Rattus norvegicus: one gene and its partners. The protein of the gene in region 3 purifies or fractionates together with the protein of the main gene of each other region. This does not show direct contact. Links are inferred from orthologs where the notes say so. Each region holds a gene or a part of one and is shown on either strand. Other genes may lie near its edges.

Region 1 (5,646 bases), on a different chromosome or scaffold from region 3:
CAGAACACATCACTGCGGTACTCAGTAGCTCTGAATTGTAAAGGAAAAGCCGTTACCTGACTCACTCTGAAGGCACATTTCTTGCCTTTATAGGCTCCAAACAGGGTCAAAGAGCTCCACAATTTGGCCAGACCACTGCATAAAGATCAAGAAAGCATAAATAAAGATTTTTGTTGTAATAGCGCTTAGTACTTTTGCTTGGGATGGTCTAGGAAGTTGTTTTTTTAGCAAACCAGAAGGCTTATGAAATAGAACCTTAAAAGTAAAAACATATCACAGAGGGTTGGGGATTTAGCTCAGTGGTAGAGCGCTTGCCTAGCAAGCGCAAGGCCCTGGGTTTGGTCCTCAGCTCCAGAAAAAAACAAACAAACAAACAAAAAAAAACAAAAGAAAACAAAACAAAAAAAAAAAAATATCACAGAGAACAAAATGAGCCCCAAGAATCTTTCTGGCCTGGCAAGCATCTAATCGGGGTGCTACTGTGGCCTTTAGCATAACTGGCTAGTGTTGGGAGCCAAACCACAAACTTAACTTGTGTTTTCTCGGTGGTTGTTAAGCAGGGGCAAGCTTGTAAGCTGGAGAAATAACTTGGAAACTGGGCTAGAGGCTGGATCTGTTGGAATAACCTGGAGATGCAGGTCTTGTTGGGGGGTAGCCTGGAAACTGAAGCTAGGTACCAGCCTGTGCTTTACTTGAGTTTAATCTTAGGTCAGGATCCCTAAGATGGAGTCTGGAGTCTGAACCCCAAAGGTTTGGTCTCTGAGAGAAACGTTCACATTAACTCCAGTGTAAATCCCCAAAGGTGCTCAGGGTGCCTGGCCTTGCACTCCCATCCGGGAAGCATCTTCACTGTGCTGTCCCATCACTCTCTCTGCCTGCTACTGTAGAACTGTCCCAGGGTCATACCTGCTGCATACTCTCAAGATGGCTGACAGTGTGGTCTCATCATAAGTGAGAACATCCACAGGTAAAGCAGCGCCAACCTAGGAATGGAGCAATCCCATTAGCAGACTTCCGTGCTCACTCTCGAACTCTAAGAAACCCAGTCTTTCAACAGTGCTGGTGCTCTCACGTGCCTGCTAAGAGCTCTCCCTGCCTGGAATGTTCCCATCCCTTTTCACCTTTGAACCTTGTGTTAAAATGCTCCTTCTCCAGTTGGTGAGATGGCTCAGTGGGTAAAGGTGCATGGTACAAAGCCTGATGACCCAAGCTCCACCCCGTTTGATCCCCAGAACCCATATGGTGCAAGGACAGAAATACCCCAGAGTCGTCCTCTGATCACAACACATGCGCGCACAAGCATTTATGTGTACTAACACACACACACACACACACACACACACACACACACACAGCATATTTATGTGTACTAACATACACATACAGAGAGAGAGAGACAGTCAGACAGAGAGAGGTTTTTTTACAAAAAGCTCCTTTCCTTACAAGATCAATCTACTTACTGCATTCTTTTTTATACCAGACTCTATACTTTGCTCATTCACAATTCTCCCCTCCTTGTCACTCACACTATTTAACAAGGGACAGAAACCATGTCTTATTTAGCTCTATCTCCTGAAATCACATTTTTTATGACATACAAATTGCTGGCTCTATATTTCAATTTGTGGCAATCTATAGGGAAGTACAAACACTCTTCCCTCAGCCCCCCTCCAAAGGCCTCTTCCCTCAGTCCCCCCAAAGGCAGCATCTTATGTCACTACAATGCAGGATCAAAGCAGGTAACTGGTGTCCACACGACTGAATCTACTTAGACCTGACACTATTTGTATGCACATATATTTATATGTGTGTGCTTCCACATAGGCAACTTCTTATAACTACTACCTCTGCCACCAAGATAAAAACCTGGACCATCACAAGACTTTTTCTATTGGTCCTTTATTACTTACACCCACTAACCCCTGGCAGTCACTTCTGTCTACAGGCTATGTTGTAGGAAGAGCAGTATAGACCTAGAATCACCCAGTGAGGAACTTACCCAGGGTTGGCTTTCTCCACTTAACTTTCTAGAGCTTTGTGTAGCACTATCTTTTTCTCTGACAATTATATCATACATGATATGAATATACAATCACTGAATAATCCATCCACTTAAGAACTAATGTAATGTTTCCAGCTCCTGGTTGTTATAAGACTACCATAAACACTGGTGTGCAGTATTTTTTTCCTTTCAACATTTATTTTTTTGTGCACATGTATATTTGTGCACTGTGTGCATGCCTGGTGCCTGAGGAGGCCAGAAAAGGAGAACAGATCTAGAGTAGAGCTACGAGGCAGTTATGAACCACTATGTGGGTCCTGGGAACTGAACCCAGGGGTCTGCAACTGCTGGGACCTCTCCAGGCCGAATGTAGATTTTTGCTTCAAGTCATTTTTTTTATTATATTTACTTATTGTGTACGCGAATATGTGCCCTGATGTACGTATGGAAGTCAGAGGACAATCTGAAGAAGTCAGTTCTTTTCTTCCACCATATGAGCTCCAGGGATCAAATTTAGGTCTTCAGGCTTGGTGGTAGCACCTTTACCTGCTAAGCCGTCTCAGCTGTCTGTGTACACAGGCTCTTCTCTTCTTTCGGTTTTCTGGAGTGAATACCGTGAGTGCTACTGCTGAGGCGTACGGTAAACACGTGATCAGTCAGGTGGCAGCTGGCACACATTCCACTGGTATCTAATATTATCACGTGCTTCTTTGTCAATGGTGCACTCTCTCTAGTGAAATGTCTGTGAAAGTCTAGCCTATTTGATTTGGACTGTTTGTTTTCTTATGACTGGGGCTCCTTGGTGATAGGGTCTTGCTACACATAACCTTGATCATCCAACTTCAGCCTGTCTAGTGCTGTGATTACAGGTGTAAATCATTGTATCCAACACCATCGGGTTCTGAGAGTTCTAATATCCTAGACAATACTTCTTTGTCAGACATAGTTTTCAAATTATTTTCCCCAACCTATATCTCATCTTTCCATCTTCTTACAGTCTTTGCAGAGTCTATCTGAACAAAATAAATCAGTCATGGGAGTTCCTGACAGTCAACCCTATCTTTGTACTCCCCCCTCCCCGCCCCCCATTTCCAAAGTTCAGCTTCTATTAGGTGACTGCTCAGACAGAGCTGCTCCAAGTGTCTGGTCTGTGACAGGCTGAGAAGCACATCGGGATGTCGGCCAGCATCACTAAGCAGTTTGCTTCTGCTCACACTCTCTTAGATTTTCTATCACTTTAAGGTTTATTTATTTGTGTGTGTGTTTCCCCCACATGTATGTATGCATGTCTCTGTACATGTATGGAGGTCTGTTTGCCCACGTGTGTATGTATGTGTGCCTGTGCTACTGCAAGTGTGTGGAGATGAGAAGAAACTCTCAAGAGCTGGTTCTCTCCTACCATACGGCTTCCAGGGACTGAGCTCAGGACATCCTGCTGTCCCTCGTACTGAGGTGTTCTTACTGAAGCATGCTATGCTCATGCGAGCCCTTCCTCTTTCAAAGACGGACAGTGATGTCTCCAGGTTACCAGTCTAGACTATAACTTGATAGCACTGTTCAAGAACAGGTGTCTAGTAGGTTTCTTGCCAAATACAGGATACACTAGAAAAACCTACAGAATTCATTATTTCTGAAAGCTGGCTTCTGCAATTTCTAGTTCCGTTTTAAAAATATGTATTTCTGTACTTCTTACAACCTGCTCTTTGTAGACTAGGAGTAATGTTGCAAGTAATCCCAGGGCTTTGGAGGCAGATGCAGGTGGCTCTGTGAATCTGATGTTAATCTGGTTTACAGAGCAAGTTCTCTAGACAACCTGGCTCATACAGAAGGCCTGTCTCTAACAAAGGAACAAAAAAGTTCTTTTTTTGTTTGTTTGTAACAGGTACAATCAGGCCCAAGGTAGGCCATGATTCCACCAGTGAATTATACCCTTAGTCCTTTTTCTAAAATTTCTTACAAAAACCTTAAGAATGTTAATTCCATACCTCCCCAAACAGGTCTTTCAGCGCTGAAACAAGTAGCTGTTTGAACTGGGCTCCATTCAGTCCAACCCCATGTTCCTGAAACTCTCTGTAAAAAATATTAAGAGAAAATATCACATTAAATGCCATGCTTTTCAGATTCATAAAAAAGAAACAATCAAACAAAAACAGGTTATATAAAACAGAACTCACAAGACGGAACTTACAAGCAGACTTTCATGTAGTGGTACTCCGAAGGGCTCTTATAAACTACCCTTTCATAAGCAGTAGCTGGCATCTTCCAACATGGGGTACCTAGAGGAGTCAAGAGAGCTCATAACCATCAGGTATAGTGTTATTAGTGGTAGTATTGCATTTTTAATGGGAACTTGCCCTATTTTCTGTTGGGACTTTATAAGCAAGAAGCCAACTAGATGTAGCCCCTTGGCCTTGGACCTGAACTATAAGCCAAAACATAGCTGTTTATAATTTACTTAGTCTGTGGTTATTACTGGCAACAGAAGATATACAAACACGGGCACTAATACTATATTGCTCTTTTCATGTAATGACGGGGGAGGGGAGCCTAACTGTGTAGTCCAGGTTGGCCTTTTACTTGATTCTCCTGCTTCATCCCCAGTGCTGGGATTATGGGTGTGTACGGGGCACTCCATACTCAATGCTATTTCAAACAGACCTGAACTCTCAAGAACTTCCGATGTGCTGACACCCCCCCCCCCCTAGAAAGTCTCTTTCCTTGAGTCCACTCAGACCTTGCTCTCCCCCTGGACAGCTCTCATTCCCATTTCAATGTCTCCTCCTTCATGGAGACTTTCTCACACTTGTTCTACAGATGTTTGTTATGTAGTATCTTGTCGTTGGGCCCAAGAGACCAGGGGCCCTCTACCTCTTACCCCAAGTCACACTGTTAGGGAACATTTCAAGAACCTCTCTGGGTCAGACCCAATTCCAAGCACTCTTAGATGATGATAGCCAGAAAAAGGAAATTGGAAGCAAGAAGCTTCATCCCTCTCTTCTGGGCCCAGCAGGGCACGTGCTCAACAGAACACTTGCCACATACGTGACTGAGGTGACGGTGATGGTGATGGCCTCGATGCCCAGTGTATCGAGGTGGTTTCAGGACAGCAGTCACAGTTACTTGATGCTCCTTTGTCACCGACCAGTCTCTACTAGAACCTTGCTTACTTCAGTCACTCACCACCTGACTGACACATACCAGTTGTTTTTAGGCCTTGCCAACTTCCCAGTTGATGCATATTGCCAAAGGCAGTGAAGTGATTTAGGCCTGAGACTTAGGATACCAAAACAACTAAGGAGCAATGCGAAGGTAGATGGTGGTAATGGTCACACAACAATGCATATGACAAAAAAAGAAAAAATTAAATGACACGCTGTATATTTTTCTTTTAGTTTTGTTTCTTGGTATAGTTCTGGCTGTCCTGAAACTCTGACCTTGAATTCAGAGAACCACTGCCTCTGACTCTCAAGTGCTGGGGTTAAAGGTATGCACCACCACTGTCTGGCCTATATATATATCTATATCTATAAAACAAATACATATATAATATACACATATAAATATAAGATACACACATATATATGAATGTATGTATGTGTATGTATATGTATATGATTACTTAGGGCTGGAGAGATGTCTCAGCT
Region 2 (5,323 bases), on a different chromosome or scaffold from region 3:
TTCTAGGCAAGCGCTCTACCACTGAGCTAAATCCCCGTGTTCATGACTTCTATATCTTATCTTTTCCTTTAGTTTCAGAAGCCCAGTGGTCCAGTAGTCAGGTACCTCAGTTGTCTGGATGGTTTACTGTTGCTGGCCTCAAACTCCACGTGTGTAGCCAAGGACGATCTTTAATTTTTGGTATTCCTCCTTCCACCTCTATGGTTCAGGTATTACAGGCATGCACCACCATGACAAGTTGGGGTGGGCAGGGCTGCGAGTAAAAAGTGAGACTATCCATGCTAGGCAAACACTCTACCAGCCGAGTTACCTCCCCAGCCAAGCCTTCATTCCTTCCATGCTTCTTGCTCCATAGCAGGCTCACAAACACATCTAAACCCCTTGGCTCTCCCTAGAGATTCCTCAAGAACAAGAAATAAGGCCGGACAAATTACACACCTGTAATCCCAGCGTTTGGGAGGCTGGGGCAGGAGGATCAGTTATTATCCAGTCTGCACTACATGGCCAGACCTCCCCTAAAAAGAAATAATTAGGTCAGGGGGGTGGGTGGGAGGCAGAGGGCAATGAACGACAGTCTGGATGACACGAGTCAGTGATTCAAAACAGAGCAGAGATAGTGTTAGGAGAGGAGAGTGCTTTCCCCTAGGCGCCCCTCCATCAGCTGCAGAAACCCACATCCTCACCAGTGGGATTTATTTCAAGGTTCTACAAGCAAAGTGACTTACAAATGTGTTCTCTCCCATCTCCTTTCCAGAGGTGCTGAGTTCCACGGGGTAGCGCCTGCCCTGAAGATCCTGAGCTGTATGCTGCACAGCTCCCCGACTTCCACAGCACACAGCATACCCCCACCCCCTCCAGACTTGGACTTGGGCTGAGAGGCATCTGAGGCTGTTATCTCTCAACCCACAGCTGTGCAGGGCTGAAGGCAGCAGCTTATCAGGGAGCCTGCAGTGATTCACAGCCCAAGCTTCTCTGCTGAATAGTAATTTCCAGCAGTGGATTTGTGCTGTCTCTCTCCCTCCCCCTCTCCCAAGGGTGTGCTGTCCTTTTGCAGAGAGAGGGCAGCGAAGGGGAGCCCCTGCTCCTGGGGCTTTGTGCCTGCCTCTGGGTAAGAATGGCTACTGGGAGGAGGGTGCAAGGTTAGAACCTTAGCATGGTTGGCCAGCCTTGGCAGGCTGCCGCTTCCAGCTCGTCAAGGCTCCCCCTCCTTCCCCTCCCAGAAAAGCAGCAACACTGCTTCCTTTCCCTTGTGGGGATACAACAGGGACACAGACCTCCAACCCCCTCCACCACAAGTCCCTCTTTCGACATTTTTGACGCTGCCCCGTCTGCGTCTGACCTTGAAGACTCCAAAGGCTAATAGGGCTGAAGGCAAGCATGCCAAAGTGGGCTCTGCACAGGCGAGCGGGTAAGGGAAAAAAAAGAGACAAAACTGGGGACGGAGCCATTTTCATGTTTGTTTTATTGGAAGCAATACTCCAGCAGGACTCAGGGGAGGAAGCATGGCAAGTTTCCTCCTGGGTCCCGTCTCTGCCACCATGCAACAGGGGTGAGGGTGGGGGGAAGCTAAAAGGAATATGCTAGGGTGTGGGTGGGCAGAACAGGGTCCAGACATTTTCAACTTGGTCACCCTCAAGGAAACAGCTTCACAGCTCCTGCTCTCAGTTAACAACAAGGACGGTTTTTAAAGCCTCAACTGTCAGCCTCCATGCACACTGGGTGCTTTTAACGTCTGGGTCCCCAAGAAAGCTCAAGAGTCCCACTACCCACCAGGCTTCCCTAAAAAAGATGGCCTAGAAAAGGTGTGGGTGGTGTTCTGTGGCTTCTGGCAACATGTCCCACAAAGTTTTCCTCGGACTTCAAGAATCCTCTCTTGTAATTCTTGAGCTCCCTCTCCTGTCGCCTTGGGATCCGCGTTGTCATTTTGAGGACCAATATTCAGGAACATGGGCCCCTTAAAACCCAGGTAGGAAGGGTGCATGTGGATGTAGGTGTGTTGAAGATATAAGATCCAGTCTAGGTGGTTCAGAGGCGAGAATTCTCAGGCAGTCCGGTCCTCATTCTCAGCCTCTGGCTCAGGCTGAGACCGCTTAGCTGTGCCTTCTCCAGCTGCAGATTCCCCCAGGCTCCTCTTGGACGTCGACACGGTAGGAGGGGACGAAGGACCAGGACTGAGGTTCGGGGGCTGGTAGCCAAGCTGTCGTGGATCCAGTGCGTCCTTTGAAAGTAGGATGGCGAGGCTCGGTACATTCTTAAGTACACTGAGACTGGCGGCCGGATCGCTGGGCGTCTGACCCGGTGTGGGCCCAGGCGGGAGGCTCTGCCACACCTCGCGCACGCTCCTGTAGCGCAGCCGCGTGACCTGGTGTAAGCCCGCCAGGCGGCGCTTGAGAATCTCGGCGCACGTGACGGTCTTGGTGGTGGCCCGGCCGCAGCCGCTGAAGACGATGGCGCGCGTGGCTGGCTGCGCCATGCTAGCGGTGGCGAAGGCCAGCAGGTTGCGGATCTTGCTGCCCTCCTTGACCCGCATGTGTACAGCACCAGGCGCCAGATCTGCAAAAGGGCCAGAGCTCGGGCTGCCACCCTCATCACCGTCCCCCGCCGGCGCCTCCTCCGAGCGCACCTTACGGAAGTTCTCCATGCGCCGTCGTCGCTGGGATCGCAGGTTTTGCCATGGGGCCGCCTCAAGCCCGGGGCTGCATGGCCGCGGGTCGTGCCGGGCGAGGGCCGGCAGGAATTGGGATGCTGGCACCGAGTGAAAGCTGGAGGGTGAGCAGGGAACGCGGAGTCTTCAGCCCAGACTTCTACAGGGTAGTGCTGTTCTACTCTGCGCCCTCGGAGCCTTGTGCTCCGCGCCTTTAGCAGAAGCTCCGCCTGGGAGCGGGATAGGCCCTGCCCCTTAGTCCAGGCCCCGCCCCAACTCTGCGTGTCTAGTCCCAGCCCCGCCAGCCTTTGGGATCCAGCGCTGGTGCTCAGCGGCTGAGCAGGGGTGGTTTGGGAGGTGAAGTTCCCCGAAGTCACCATCTGTCCTCCCTGAACCAGCCCTCTTGCAGGAACAACCTAAATAAAAACTATGCTTGAGGTGCAAACGCCGATTCAAGCCTAGTCCCTAAGCCTTGCGAGTTCCAGCTCAAGGGCATCCCTAGACCCCTCCTAGGTAAGAGATTTCCAAACCACCTCTTGGGGCTTCGCTTCTCCAGCCCTCCAGGGACCTCCCTCCCTTTCTCTCTATATATTCTTGCGTCAAGGACAGCCAGTGCATGGTCAGCAGAGTGTGGGAGGCGTTGGCTGCGGCTGCACGCAGCGCCTTCCCTGGGCTGGGACCGCTACGTCGTGGCTTGGTCTTTCAGTAGCTGCTTGGAATGACTTAAGTTTCAGCTTTGCTCCTCTTGATCATACCTCCAGGCTCCCGGCACCTATACATCTCTGAAATGTGGGAAGTGATGCGTTGGGCCTGCCTAAAGTGAATGGGGAACAGGGGACCATTTCTTCCAAGGCGTTAAATTCTAACATTTATGCCTGAAAGTCCGTTACCAGAGCTGCGTGTATTTTTAAGTGCGTGGCTCAGCCCGTGCTAACGCGGATTTCTGACTTCCAATTCCAGGTGGAATTCCTTGCCAGTCAGCCTTGGCCTCTAGAAATCCAGAGGATTGTTTTTGTTAAACGGAGAGAAGGCAGGTTTTAAGAGGTGGGAGGCAGGGTGGAGTGCCTTGGTGGAATGTTGGGGGTGGGAGTACTTGCAAACTCTGGAAACTCCACAGAATCTAAGGAGAGGCTCGGGCTCTGCTGGGAGGTGAGATGAGCGTAGAAAGATGAGGCTAGGGGCCAAGGGCTGATGAAAGGAAGACGGTTTAATAAAGAGTGACCCTATCTAATCCTCCCCTGGGACCATGTCCTCAGTCTTCAACCGGCTTCCACGAAAGGCAGGGAGTCAGACAGACCTGTTAAAGCACAGGGAAGGAAGAAGCACTAAGGACTGTAAGGAACTGTGTTCTCCAAAGTATCAGCAAGATGGTATCTGGATGAACATAGCTTCAGTCTAGGAGTAGAGCTACCCGGCCCTCCTCTTCCTCTTTGCTGTCTGTGACAATTCTCAGCCCCGCGGCTCAGAACACTGGCCTTATATCTCATCTCTTCTTGGAGTGTGGCTGCAGCACCTGGACTTTTTTTTTTGCCTCAAGTGTGAGTGACTGACTCCAATCTCTTGCTCACACTCCAGGAGTGTGGCTGGAACTGGGACTCTGTCCTAGATCCAACTCTTGCAGACTTCAAAGGAAGGAGCAGGCTCTGGAGGCCCAACCTTGGGACGACACCACCTCTGCTGTGCTCTTGGGCAAGTGGTGGAACTTAAAGTCGGCAGGTTCGGATTGGCTTGAGAAAAAGTTCCAGAAAGACTAGAAGCTATGTAGGAGTGTGCTGGTTGGAAAAGAAGCGAGCTCTGCGTCCCTGGGAGTATGCAAGCCTGAGTTAAACACTTGGAGACCCTGTAGGCAGTACTCTATAATTTGGAAGACCTGGGGACTGCAAGTTTGTTCCATAAGGAAGGGGTGGTTGTGCCTCTACCCAAGTTGGCCCTCAAGGACACCGCCACCCCCTCTCAGCACCACTACCCTCTGCCATAGACTCCCCTATTCACTTTATTTTCGAGTCTGTGGAGGGAGAACGCAGAAAAGGCCCAGTTCCCCGCCCGCGTAGCTTCCTTTCCCGCTCCCTCTGCAGCACTTAAAATGTAAATGCACATCGTGATTAGCCGCGGGGTCGCTAATTACAGCTGAAGCCATTCATTACGCTGTCAGCTCTCTCTGTCGCCTGCCGACTGTGCGCTCCCTCCCGGCCCGGGAGGGGCGGCAGCGGGGGAGGTGATGGGGGAAGGATGCGGGGACTGGGTGGTGCTGGCAGCCTTAAAGCCCAGAACTGGCAGAGGGGCGGTGAGCCGAAGAAACCGGTTGGACCGTGAAGAAACCTTGGTGTCAGAGAGGAGAGAAGCTCGGGAGACTGGAAGGAAGGAGATTAAGTGAGGAGGATGAAGAGGAAGGTTATGTGAGAAGGGATACCAGGATGGGAAGACGGCCAAAGGAGAAATCGTGCGAAATGGGTAGGGACCTTCCGAAAGGGGACAGACGACAGCGGGAGGAGAAAGAAGGTTCAATATGGGGAAAGTGGGTAAATAAAGGCACTATCTTTGCTACACACAACATCATGGTTAGAAAGGCAGCCAGGACGGTATGCTGAAAAAAGCTGGTTGCCCGCCAAACCCTGCGGATACGTTTGCATATGTAAATGTATTTTTAAATACTTACAAGAAAACTGCACACTGGCATCT
Region 3 (6,153 bases):
AGAAATTGGTAGGGGGAGACTGCCCCCTTGTGGCAGAAGGCAGAGAAGTACCTGAGCCTAAGTGGGCACAGATATCCAGTGAGCTCTAGGCTCTCCAGTCTACACCCGGACAAGGAAGACTAGGCACTGTTGGAAGGCAAGACCTTTAGGAAGGTGGGCATACCTCTGTTGCTCTGGTTTAATGTCAAAGAGCCGCAGCTCTCTCCTCTGTTTGGCAGAGAGGCCTTTGGATTTCTTCTTTGGCCTTGGCTTCGGCTTCAGGCGAGTGAAATATTCCAAGATCACAGCCTTGCGTTGCAGATGGCTCTCGCAGTCTTGTTGGCTCATGTGAGGTATGCTCTGCTTCAGGAAGGCCCGCACAAAGGCCTCAGCCCGCTGGGTTCCCAGCTCCTGCTCAGAGACATGGGGGTGTTGTTCACTGTTCTTCTGCCCAGACACCAGGGCCCTCATACCCTGTTCCAATGAGCCACTATCTTTGCTGATCTGTCTATCTATCCACTGAGGCTCACAAATCTCTTTTGCCAAGGGTTTGCTCCACACAGCTGCCAAGATGTAGAAGAAACACTCATATGGTACTTGTGACAGTGTCCCACACTGCAGCCAGTTCAAACACTGACTTCCTGTCCTGCTTCTTTGAGATTCCTCTACTGAGGATCCAAGCCCTATTGTGATTTAGTACTTCTCTAATCCTTGTAGGGAAGGAAGCCTGAGACATGGATGATACAGGTTATCCAATCAGTCATGACCAGCTTATAAGGGGAAGGGAGCGGGGGGTTGGTAGGGAAATGAGCCACTCCGGCACTAGGGGAAACTGGGGTTTCCAGGAAGGTCAAGTCCTTTGAGGAGGACAGTGGATATCAAAGTCCTCTTTTTTTGGTTCTTTTTTTCGGAGCTGGGGACCGAACCCAGGGCCTTACGCTTCCTAGGTAAGCGCTCTACCACTGAGCTAAATCCCTAGCCCCTCAAAGTCCTCTTTAATCACTTGTCCTCTGGAGTTGGAGCAGCAACAATGTATTCCTCACCGGGCAACATCAACTGAAACCCTGTTACCTAAGGACTGACCTCTTCCCTGAGTCATTTGCTGGGAAGTCTGGGTTAACTGCCAGCTTTAGGGTAATGTATGAATAGTGACTTCCACCCTCTCTATGCTAAAGCAAGGGAGTGAAAATATAGAATACATAACCTTCGAGGTGCCTGAAGCAGGGATAGCTCAACAATTCATCAACAAGTGACATGAGGACACTTCGGATCTTGTAACTAGGTGGCCTCTCTTTCATTGGGGATTAAAAACTGAAGGTCAACGGGCCTTTTGAAGTCTTGATTTCAAGGACATGTTCCCTTTAGGAGCCATAGGTGAAGCTTCTGCCCAAATGACAAAGCATCCGGAAACACCCAGACAAAACTCCTAACAGCGGCTTATGGAACGGGCTGAGCACTGCCCAGGATACTGGTTTCAGGTGGGCGAGGCTGTCATCCCTACAGAGAGGGGGATGACAGGAAATCAAGGAGTCCAAGTCCCTCAGAGCTGACTCTGGTAGCCTAAGGAAGGAGTCTGGCTCATGAAGACATCAGCACAAAAGGTTTTTATGGGGCCTAGTACACAGAATGGAAAGGAGAGGCGTAATCCATGGGAAAAGACAGTTACACCAGCCTTAGAAGATCCCGAGCCTCCTTTGCCGTCACCTCTGACAGACTGTACCTGCACATCGTGGTCCTTGGCTTCTTTATGAGAAAAGGCATGGTAGATCACAGCTGGGGGACGAAAGACAAAAACAAGGAGAAATGATTCTTCCTGTTAGGAACGAGTATAATAGCCAAGGCTTTTCCAACTAGGACAAGAACTACACTTACTCAGAGAAGATGATCCTTTTATTTTATGCTGCAGTGCTGGAGGACTAATGTGAGGGGAGTGTAATGTATGCTGAGCAGGTGCTTCACTGTGGACGTAGACCCCAGCCCTCTTACGTGTCTGCTTTGTATCCTAGGCTGGCCTCCAACCCACACCAGTCCTGTCTTAGGCTTCCAAGTGCTAGTAGCTGGGATTATACACATGTACCACCACACTGACCTTATAGTGGTACACATGTACCACACTACCCTTCCCTCTTGCCAACTTCATCCTAGAAATTCCCAGGATGTAGTTTTTTTAGAAAAGCACCCCTCAAAGCTTAATGTGTTTAAGAATCACTGAGATCTTATTAAAATTTAGGGTTTTGGTTCCTACTCGACTCTGCATGTTCAAAAAAATTCCTCAATGGGTCACATTTAGAGTTAATCTGATTTTAAACACCCAAGAGTTATAATTACGCTTGGGCAGTGGCTCAGTAAGTCTAGTAAGTCTAGACACTAAAAGTGAGGCGATCTTAATGCGTATGGTTGAAACACTACATTTTGCTGACTACGGAGAGGCTTGAAAGAGGTTTTTTCACACCTTAAAATCTATAATGTATCCTGACCAGATAAGATACAATAGTCTCTTTCCAAATTCTAAATACCATCTTCAGGATGCCAAAACCTCTTTTTTTTTTTTTGTTCTTTTTTTTTTTTTCGGAGCTGGGGACCGAACCCAGGGCCTTGCACTTCCTAGGCAAGCGCTCTACTACTGAGCTAAATCCCCAACCCCGCCAAAACCTCTTTAAACCTCCTGTTTCTCATTTGTTTGGAGGAAAGCATCATGGGGCTCATGACCAGAAAATGCAGTTCACACCATACTCCATACATTCCACTTCTGAGCTAAGTTTGGTGGCATCCCCATCCCTTGAGAGGTAGAGGCCAAGCTGGTTTTACACAGTGAGTTCCAGGCCAGCCAGGAGAACATAGCTGGCTGTATCCCAACAGCAACAGTAAGAAACAAACAAACAAACAAACAAAAATCCATCTCTGTTTCCCTGAGTACATGCTTGAGCAAGCAAACAAACCAAGGCACTTACAAGTTTTATATACAGCATCTAGTTCTCCCTTGAACAATGGATTGAGATTGTGCTTTTTTTGTTTATTGAGAGTGGAACCCCAGGGAGAACTTTGTTGTATTGACCCCAGATGCCTAGCATCAAAACTGAAAGTCTTTCTGCAACATGCAACAGGTAGGGGACACTCACTGCTGGTTGAGCAGTTGGTTGAGTGAGTGTGTGTGCATATATATGTGTGTGTGTATATATATATACACACATATATGTATGCATAATATGTATATATTAATGTCATTAATCTTTCTAAGCAATTTAAAACAGTAGTTACTCCTTGTTATGCACATAGTAAGGTTGTAGCTAAGACATGCTAAGAAACTTGCTCTCTGAGAAAAGGGCACGGACAGGGGTGTGAATCGCCCGATCAGAGGCTTAATCTTTACGGCATCCCCTCTCTACTCTAATACTGCTCCAGTGCTTAACTGCCCTTCTGGGTGCAGGTCTTTTCAGCTCAAATATCAACGCCTTAGGTGTGCGACACGGCCCCTCAGCAGTGTTTACAGGGGCAGGGGCAAGGGTGAAAAGCCAGAGAGTAGAGGGGAGCAGGCCCTAGACATAAGTTATATGGGAAGGTAGTGGCTAGGTCCCGTCAAGGACTTGGACCTACCTCTTCTAGTTCCCCTGAGAAGCCCTTGAGGAGGACACACACACACTCGATCCTGACGTCCATTCCTAGCTAAGAGACTGAGTCGGCCGATTCAGACTTGGGGCCTCGATTTGTGTACTGAGTCCATTCCCTGGAAGATGTCTTCTGACAAGTGTCCCTGACTCATTTCACAGACCAACTTCTGGTTCCGGTGCTCTATAGTCTCACCTCGGCCCCATTCCGCGCCTCTCATTCCACTTACCCTTCATTGTCGGCCAGCTTCCGGAGCGCTCTAATGATGTCTCCTCCAGGCCTCATGCATTCTTTTCCTTTCTTCGCTTTGTTCAGAGGTTTTTACCCCCACTTGGATGCTTTTTTGTTTAAGTTTAAGTTTCCACCTGAAAAAAATCCGATAAGCCCAAGAAACAATTTACAAACTGCACGGACTTGCTCCAGCCGGCGTCAATTTCGGATCAGGCGCCTCTCTGACGTCATCGGCGTGATGGCATCTATGTGCGTCTGTCTCTGGCAACACATGCGCCTTGGGGTTATCTCTGTGGCTTGAGGGAGGGGCGAGGTTTGCAGGTCTTCGCTGTGTCGTTCACTTTGCAACCGACTGTGCCGAGAGCGGTCGGGTCGAGGGTCAGGATTAATGAAGTATAGCGAGGCAAGCTGACATAGAAAGGACGTGAGGGAGATCGGGGACTAGGGAGGGCACAAGTGGTCCGGGGATATCGGCGGTAACGACTTTTTTTTTTTTTTTTTTTTATGCAAGGGGCTCACAATGTGGCCCCGGGTGACCCAGAATTTACTCCCGAGATTAATAGGCACATTTTGTACTGGTGGCCGGGGATTTAGTTCTGTTTCTGCTACTAAATACCTTTATAACCTCGTTTAAAGGTCTCTTTTACTTGATTTACTTGATGTCTTGAGCAAGCAGGTAGATACGTCCAGTTAGTGTAGCTAGTATAACAAAAGTTACATTTTATTATGCTGTGGGCCATTACATAGGTTCACCCCCTAAATTCCTAACTACATTCCTAAGCCTATCATCTCCCTAAGGCTACCCCTCTTGTGTGACTTATCTTAGCTGAAGGTCAGGCCCAGTCTCTAACAGAAGTTTTTGATTGGATCCTGGCAGTAGGGTTCGGGGAGGGGGTACGGGGGTGGGGTGGTGGTGGTGGTGGCTCTCCAGCCCCAGGGCAGATCAAGGTGGCTTCTCTCCAGACAATTGCTCTTGGTGTCTGCTTATATAATTCCACTGGGTGGCATGGGGTTCTAGGACTGGCTAGTTGTCTTGAATGAGTGATGAAACTGGGTTCTGATTATCAGGTGCTGCCTTTGGTGTAGTGGGGTTCCTTGACTAAACATTTTTATATGTCTAAAAGGCATCTTTCTTTCCTTCCTTCCTTCCTTCCTTCCTTCCTTCCTTCCTTCCTTCCTCCCTCCCTCCCTCCCTCCCTCCCTTCTTCCCCTCTCCTCTCTCTCCCTCCCTCCCTCCTTCCCTCCTTCCGGCTGGCCTTCCTTCCTTTCCTATGCTCATTAAATTGCACTCTGATGGTCTAAGAATGTTTGCTTTTTTAAACTGATTTTTTTTTTCACTCCTAAGACCAAGTTTCCCAGACACTTGCTGTGTGGTGTAGGCTGAGCTTGAAAGTGTAATATTCCTGCCTGAGCTTCTGGAGCATTAGAATTTACAGTCTCTCATTACATCCAACCCAGAAAGCATCCTTCAGACCAAGAACATTAGTGTCTGTCATTATGATAAAAGACAAAAGTGATTCCCATAGATCTGGGACACAAAGGCCCAGCCTAGCCTTTTTCTCTAGCCCAGTTATTAGGAATCTCTTAATGGACCCTTTTAAAATATCTAGCTTAGCTTTGGGTATCTGCCAATATTCCCTGTGACTCTCAGACCACAGTAGGGTGTGGGCTTTTCTGAGTAACAGTGACACACAGTTGCATACTTACTAAAACCTTTGCTTTTTAAGGAGAGCCTCACAGTTTGTCACCCTCAGAAAACTATATGAAGAGAGATACCTACTAGGATTTCTGTGGTTCTTGTTTATGAGAGCAAAGTACTGGACACAGTAGTGGACAGGGATGGACTGAGCAAATGAAGTGTGTGCTGATCTCTTTGGTCAATAAGGTTTATCACAAGTGTGAGTGAGTGCACACTCAGCAGGCTGGGGCCGGAGGGTAGAGAGGTTGAGGTCTAAGCATACACACGGAGACCCTGTCTGAATAAGCAAGGAAATGGAAGGTTTCAAAAGTTCTGATGTGTAGGCATCTCTTAGAGTTACCTAGCAGAAGGGTGCCTGGAATATCTGCATTTTAAAAGTTTTTAGTTTATGTTCATTGGTGTTTTGCCTGTGGTTATGTCAGTGTGAGGTGTCAAGAAGCCCTGGAAGGGGAGTTACAGACAGGTGTGAATTACCATGTGTGTGGTGGGAGATCACGCACAGGTCCTCTGGGAGGGTAGCAGCTGCTCTTCATGCTGAGTCCTTCCAGCACCAAGAATCTATATTTAAAAATTGTTTTTAAAAAGTCAGTCAGTCAGTCAGTCAGTCAGTCAGTGTGTGTGTGTGTGTGTGTGTGTGT
Region 4 (6,385 bases), on a different chromosome or scaffold from region 3:
GGGTTTTTACTCTTGGGTGGTTTCCTTATCTTACTCGGGTTAGGAACGAGTCTCTTTATTTTCAGGGGTTGTAGTGTTGCAGCTGGAGCTTGTCCACCTTCAGCAAGCTTCCTCTTAAGTCTTGTAAGGTCATCAAATGAAGTGTCCAAAACCTCTTTGTCCTGGCTTTCCAAAGACTCCGTCTCCAAACTGTCTGTGAGACCTTGGGTTCCGTCTGGAAGCCAGGGCACATTTAAGCTGGGCACCCTGGGAATGATGGCTTCTACTTCATCAGCAAAGTCCATGGTGTTCTTTCTGAAGCCCAAGGCTAGCACACATTTTAAGCCAATGACTGGAGCAATTCTCTCGCTGAGCTGAGGTACCTGACAGGCAGGAACGGTTCTGCTTAAACTCAGCTGAATCAAGTGTGAGGTGATGATGGCGGGCTTGACTGACTTACACACTAGAACCAGGAGCAGTTCATTCCTCTCCAGAGCCCGGGTGACCTCATTAACCCCGATGGCCAGCTGCTTCCTGGTGTGCACAGGGGTCCACCCTGACACCCGCACACCCCCATGGGGCTCTTGCGGCTCCTCACTGGTCCCAACAAGCCCGCCTCTCTGCTTTGCTTTCCTTTTCTTCTTATCTTCAATTTTCTGAAGTCCGATCGACTTAAACTTGTCCTCCAGCGTCTGTAGGATAAAGTGCATGTCTTCTCTCTCCAAGCTGCTCCAGGAAATGACATAGGGGTTGTTCAGTGATGTCTTTACAACCAGAGGTCTAGTCTTCCGAATAGATCCCCTCTTTGGTGCCTGAGGAGCTGCAGCCATCTTGAAAACCCTTTGGAAAGAAGCAAAAATGATAAAAGTCATGTTGGCAGTGCATTTTTGAGAATATTTTGGGTATATTCTCGTCTTTTTTTTTTTTTTTTTTTTTTTTGGTTCTTTTTTTCGGAGCTGGGGACCGAACCCAGGGCCTTGCGCTTCCTAGGCAAGCGCTCTACCACTGAGCTAAATCCCCAACCCCCCATTCATTCATTTATAAGCACGTTTACTGCAGTGGGCAGATGGTGTTCCAGACACAGCTGCTGGTGGGCTCTGAATTCCCTGCAACTGCTCACACAGAACTTCTCTTCTGGACTCTCTCAAGTTCATAAAGAACTAGGTCGGATTTTAAGAACCAAAATAGTAATGATCTATCTCCATGGCTAAAACTTTGTAAGTCTCCCTCCTCTCATGATCCCCAAGTTCCTAAAACATTTTAAACATACAGGTTTATTTCCCCTCTCATGTGATCATAAAATTCCTGCTTTGGCTGACAATTTCATGAAAAATAGGAGAAATTTGTGGTGAAATTCTGAGAGTAACTCATTAGGGAGAAATAAATGGGCTGAGCTCCTAAAAGAAAAAACAAAACAAAACAAAAAAAACCCCACAAACCCACTGGCCTATTTGTTCTTCCTAGTGACTATATCATATTAACCTCACAAACAAGTTAGGATGTTCTCAACTGCTCCTTGTCAGGCATCCATTCATTTAGATCCTGTTTATTCTTCCCAAAGGCAACTAAGTATGTAGGTAGATATTATATATAATATATATGTATACATAAATAATATGCATGTGTACTCCTCTCAGTTGTTGTCTCCTTCCTAGAGTTCATCTGAGAACTATAAAGACCCAGTTGACAAAATAAGTCCCCTCTGATTAAGGTTCCTCTAACTCAGGGCGCTTTCTCCACACATCCAGTCCTAAAACACAAGAGTTTGCCAGTGTGGATTAGGAAGCAGATTCACTGTACAACTCACAGCTAGTTTTTCTGAAGACTTTTAATCATGATTCCATCTTAGAAATAACCTGTGATTGGCTTTTAAGAACAGTCAGATGGCTTTACTGAGCTGGGATTTCTGGGAGTACAGCTTCACCAGAGGTACTGGTAGAAAGATGCCCAACGTTTGGAGGTTGGTGTGGGACAGGTGGCATTTCCAAACTGGACAGCTGTAGGAAGTGGTGTTGCAGACTCACTCCTCTCCTGATCCTTCTAGTCCCCGTCCACATAAAGTCAGAATTCCTCCCACTAAAAGCTGCAATCTTGATTCTGTCAATGCTACCCCACTGCCACAGACATTGGCTAATAGCGGCTTCCTTCTCACAACGCACTGCACTGCTCCAATCAATGCCCCAACAGCTGCATACTTCCCACAAGTTCAGACTCAAGAACAGGTCATCTAGATCTAGTGAGGTGACTACCAGCAGCTGGCATCTAGCAGTAGGTGAAATGACCAGGAAGCAAGACAAACAGCCCCACCGCAGCTCTTGCCAAACTACAAGTCAGTTACTGTGTTGCCTAGCCCGTCAGTGTAAGAGGGACACACTCACAGATGCTCTGCAACCAAGGGGACTGCAAGATTGGGATGTACTCTGATTTACAAGAACCTAGAAGGGGAGGTGGAAAAAAGCCAAGTCTACATAAGGCGACTGCCATGCAATATGAATTTTTAAAATGCTGAACGGTAACGGGTTCACAAAGCTTGCTCTTGCTCAAGCGCCTTGCCAACTATGTCTGCAAGCTGCCACTGCCTACAGGACTAACTGCAAACTCAAAATGTTTACCTTTTTACTCACCCATCTCAAACCTTTCTGCTTTCACCCACCACCCATATTACAGGTTCTGAACATTTAGTTTCTCATGTCCTTATTAAGCGTACACTGTGCCTGGTATAGCACTCACACACCAGATGTTTTGTTTTCCATCAAATTCTTGGGACTTATCCTTGCTCCCGGTTATTAGGCGTGGGGCAGAGCAAACAGCTTCTGCGACTAATAAAAACGGCTCACTCTAAAGCCAAAGTAGTGAAGTACCTTGAGGAACATACCTTGAGGAACAGACAGTTAGCGACCTTAGTTGAGAGGGTCAGGAAAAGAAGTCTCTCTGGAGGAAATGACCGTAACAACCGCTTTCTAAAAGAATTCCTTCCGAAGGAAGCGGGCTGCGAGGTATCCCAGAAGAGTATTAAAGTTCAGTATCGCTCGGGACAGAGATGCTAGAGTTGGAGTAAGGACAAGATGGTGGTGACTCTAGAGAGACTTTCAGAAGGGTGGCGCTATTAGAAATGGGTCACAGAGAGACCTTGATTTGGGGAAAGAGACCCTGGATAGGCCGTCAGCAGCAGAGATGCTCCCGTAGTCTCGGGGGAATGATGTCTCACGTCACACCACGCGACGGAAGGAGGCCGGGATCGCCTGAGGCCAGCCGGAAAGAACCTCAGGGAGACCGGGCACTGGATGAACCCCACGCCGCGATGACCCGGGTGCCCACGGGCTGGGACTCGGACCACGGACTCGCATGCACCCACCTGTGCAGAAGCGCCCCGCGGAGACCACGTGACAGATCGATTCACTGCGGCGGCAACTCCGCCACCACCGGGGACCACGGCGCCCGCTCCACGTGCGCCTGCTGCGCGCGTGCGCAGAACACGAGCTCCGCCTACCTGCCGCTCTGCATTACGTCACTCCTAGTAAGGAACGTCAGCCGTAGTTTGGCTACCGAGAGTGGTCCCTGCGTAAAATCCCTCAGCCTGGGACCGAGCTCTGGAGCAGCACTGCGCAGGCGTACGGTCTGTCTCGCGAGAGTCTGTGGTTGCTGTAGTAACCAGCCTCTGCGCTTCTGTCAGGTTGTCTAAGGATGCTGATGTACCAAGCAGCTCCCGGAGTCTGGTTTTGTGAGAGGTGGATCTCTCCTTTCCGCTCGCTGTTTTTAGCCAAGTTGGTTCTGCCTGGGAACTCTGGCCTGCCGTCTCTTTTCGTTCTAGGGACGCAAAGCTCCAGCCCTTATGGCCACCCATTCATTCCCCTGCCCACGTCGCCGCGCCACCACGAAAATCAAATAAGTAGTAGGGCTAACAGGGTTGCGTGTAATTACAATTTATGTGGAGAATCTTGGGCCCTCTGAAAGGAGAATAAGGGCTGCGTTCAGTTCCACAGCGGTACTCCAGAATATGCCGGCAATATCTGTTGTGCCTCCTGACTAATGGAGACTGTGTGTGTGTGTGTGTGTGTGTGTGTGTGTTTTATGAAACAAAATCACTGGAAAGTTACAGACAACTAGTAAAACAGTGGAATAGCGTGCTAAAGATTAAAATTCTGTTGGCTACACTTGACAGGATTTTTTGCTGTTGTTCCTTTCTGACCTCTCAGGACGTTGGGAGGTGTAGTGGCTATTCCTGGTTGTCCGCTTGACTATATCTGGAATGAACTGCAATCCAGAACTGAAAGGCTCACCTTTGATCCTGATATTGAGGCTGGGCGATGGAGATTCGGGTCCTTCTCTTTATTTTCCTTCTAGGTGTCTTCATTGCTCGTTTTAAACTAACGTTTATAGTCTAGCTTCTGCATTTTCATCATTCGCCACTTATTGGACATTTAAACAAAACAAAAGCGGTTGCTTTTGGTCAAGGATTGTTGAAGTTTTTACAGGGAACGTGTGCTATGGTTTCTACCAAAAGTTGATTAAGAAGAACGAAGTCAGGACGAGTTTTGAGTGTGCCAACAGGTTTTTGTCTCATAAAGCGTTCTTTACTATAACCCGCAGTCCTGGTGCGCTGAAGACAAATCGCGGTGATAGAATTGAAATACTAAAGGTTCACATGAAATCCTGGCGCGTGGGAGACTGGGGCAGGAACCTACACACCATAAAAAAAGCAGAAAGAAGGAGCGAGAAAAAGTGTAAAAAGGTAGCCAGACTGCTATGTTCAAACCTTAACCTTACCACTAACTAGTGTACCTACGCCTCGGGCAAGTTAATTAGCCTTCTGTGAAATGATAAAAATAGCCCCTATTCTGAGGATTAGAAAAGAGTTCTGTGTAAGATGCTTACCATGATGCCTGCCGCATAGTAAGTGTCTGACTAACTATGGAGCCGCGATGACCCAGTGACAGTTGTGGCAGAATTAAGTTAATAAAAATTATATATAGCCTCTACTATTTTGGTCCTTGCTTTCTATTTGAAAACTTAGCCATATTTCCACAAGAATTTTACCCAAAAGAATATTTCTCACAGGTAATTTCTTTCCATTTGTGTAGCCCAAACTTTACAGCAACAAAAAATATTTTAAAGTTTTTTTAATCCTTTGTGAAGATGCAGTCACCTCCGTGCATTTTGTTCAGAGTAATCTAATTTATTTCACATAGGTGTGTGCTAAACCCCAGCAATATCAATTCGGTTTATGTTCAGATTTTTTTCTACAAACATTTGCTTCCCATAGTCCCCTTAATTGCCATGCATTTAGTAGTCTATATATACACTGAGTGATCGATTTACCTTTCAATGATAGCTTTTATTTTACATTGAAAACAAGTTATGTTTGCAAATACACAGCTTATGAATATACTGCTTATGAAAATAGTCAAGTCCCAAAGACTATACATGGACTGACCCTGGACTCTGACCTCATAGGTAGCAATGAATAGCCTAGTAAGAGCACTAGTGGAAGGGGAAGCCCTTGGTCCTGCCAAGACTGAACCCCCAGTGAACGTGATTGTTGGGGGGAGGGCAGTAATGGGGGGAGGATGGGGAGGGGGATGGTTTAGGGGGATGTTGGCCTGGAAACCGGGAAAGGGATTAACATTCGAAATGTAAATAAGAAATACTCAAGTTAATAAAGAAAAAACGGAAAAAAAGAAAATAGTCAAGTTTATGAATATCTCAAAGTAGTTTAATAACTTAGAAGGTTTGTGAAAGTGTTCTCTTTGTATTAACTTTTGAATTGCTAGGTTTAAAGGATACAACAATATAACATTAGCTTACGAATCTGGGTCAGAAATCATAGCATTAGAGTTGACAATAATGTTTGTCAATGAAAACGTGCAAGAATTGAACACAAGACTCTCCTTGTCTTTCATGGAATCTGAGCTTTGCTCAGCACTGTATGCTCTTGTGATTTCGTGGAATCATACTATTAATAACAAAGTTTTTTTTTCATGAAAGAATGAACCAAACACATTCACATTTATTTTTTAAAACAAATAACAAAAACCCAAATTACCAGATTTTTTTAAACCTAAGCTTAACATTACATATTTAAACAATAGTCAAACTGACGAGGTTGCCAGCATTCGTGCACAACTAGAAAACATCCTTAATTTACACTAAAGCAGAAATGTATTACCATTGATGCAGTAATAGCTTACATCACTAAATACTGAAAATAAAGTTGAAATATTTCTGTAGACATTCATCTGGCAATGGTAACTTCACAGCAGGCTGACACTACTCACAATTCAACACAGTGGGAAGCAGAGCCATGCTGGTGTTAAAGACAATCTCGTCCCAGCACTACTCAGCAGTCACAGGGCTCACCTCAGATCACGTTCTGTTTAAAGCAAAGTGCGTACAGAGATCACAACAA

The links.
Region 1: the proteins of Pop4 (region 3) and Rpp14 purify together in Homo sapiens (affinity purification with mass spectrometry; 3 studies listed by BioGRID and IntAct, counting the BioPlex papers as one, with this or other methods). This does not show direct contact. The link is inferred for Rattus norvegicus from reciprocal best matches to the Homo sapiens genes POP4 and RPP14.
Region 2: the proteins of Pop4 (region 3) and Rpp25 purify together in Homo sapiens (affinity purification with mass spectrometry; 3 studies listed by BioGRID and IntAct, counting the BioPlex papers as one, with this or other methods). This does not show direct contact. The link is inferred for Rattus norvegicus from reciprocal best matches to the Homo sapiens genes POP4 and RPP25.
Region 4: the proteins of Pop4 (region 3) and Rpp38 purify together in Homo sapiens (affinity purification with mass spectrometry; 4 studies listed by BioGRID and IntAct, counting the BioPlex papers as one, with this or other methods). This does not show direct contact. The link is inferred for Rattus norvegicus from reciprocal best matches to the Homo sapiens genes POP4 and RPP38.

The regions. Positions count from the first base shown.
Region 1 is NC_086033.1:19,270,299-19,275,944, forward strand, and holds part of Rpp14 (ribonuclease P protein subunit p14), read right to left. Parts: 5' UTR 5,622-5,646; intron 4,279-5,621; 5' UTR 4,262-4,278; coding exon 4,191-4,261; intron 4,073-4,190; coding exon 3,988-4,072; intron 984-3,987; coding exon 907-983; intron 136-906; coding exon 57-135; intron 1-56. UniProt on the Homo sapiens protein: Component of ribonuclease P, a ribonucleoprotein complex that generates mature tRNA molecules by cleaving their 5'-ends.
Region 2 is NC_086026.1:66,800,765-66,806,087, reverse strand, and holds Rpp25 (ribonuclease P protein subunit p25), read right to left. Parts: upstream 2,827-5,323; 5' UTR 2,642-2,826; coding exon 2,042-2,641; 3' UTR 1,446-2,041; downstream 1-1,445. UniProt on the Homo sapiens protein: Component of ribonuclease P, a ribonucleoprotein complex that generates mature tRNA molecules by cleaving their 5'-ends. Also a component of the MRP ribonuclease complex, which cleaves pre-rRNA sequences.
Region 3 is NC_086019.1:100,101,078-100,107,230, forward strand, and holds the start of Pop4 (ribonuclease P protein subunit p29), read right to left. Parts: upstream 3,980-6,153; 5' UTR 3,822-3,979; coding exon 3,815-3,821; intron 1,753-3,814; coding exon 1,700-1,752; intron 391-1,699; coding exon 164-390; intron 1-163. UniProt on the Homo sapiens protein: Component of ribonuclease P, a ribonucleoprotein complex that generates mature tRNA molecules by cleaving their 5'-ends.
Region 4 is NC_086035.1:79,820,427-79,826,811, reverse strand, and holds the start of Rpp38 (ribonuclease P protein subunit p38), read right to left. Parts: upstream 3,445-6,385; 5' UTR 3,335-3,444; intron 3,023-3,334; 5' UTR 2,855-3,022; intron 820-2,854; 5' UTR 810-819; coding exon 1-809. UniProt on the Homo sapiens protein: Component of ribonuclease P, a ribonucleoprotein complex that generates mature tRNA molecules by cleaving their 5'-ends. Also a component of the MRP ribonuclease complex, which cleaves pre-rRNA sequences.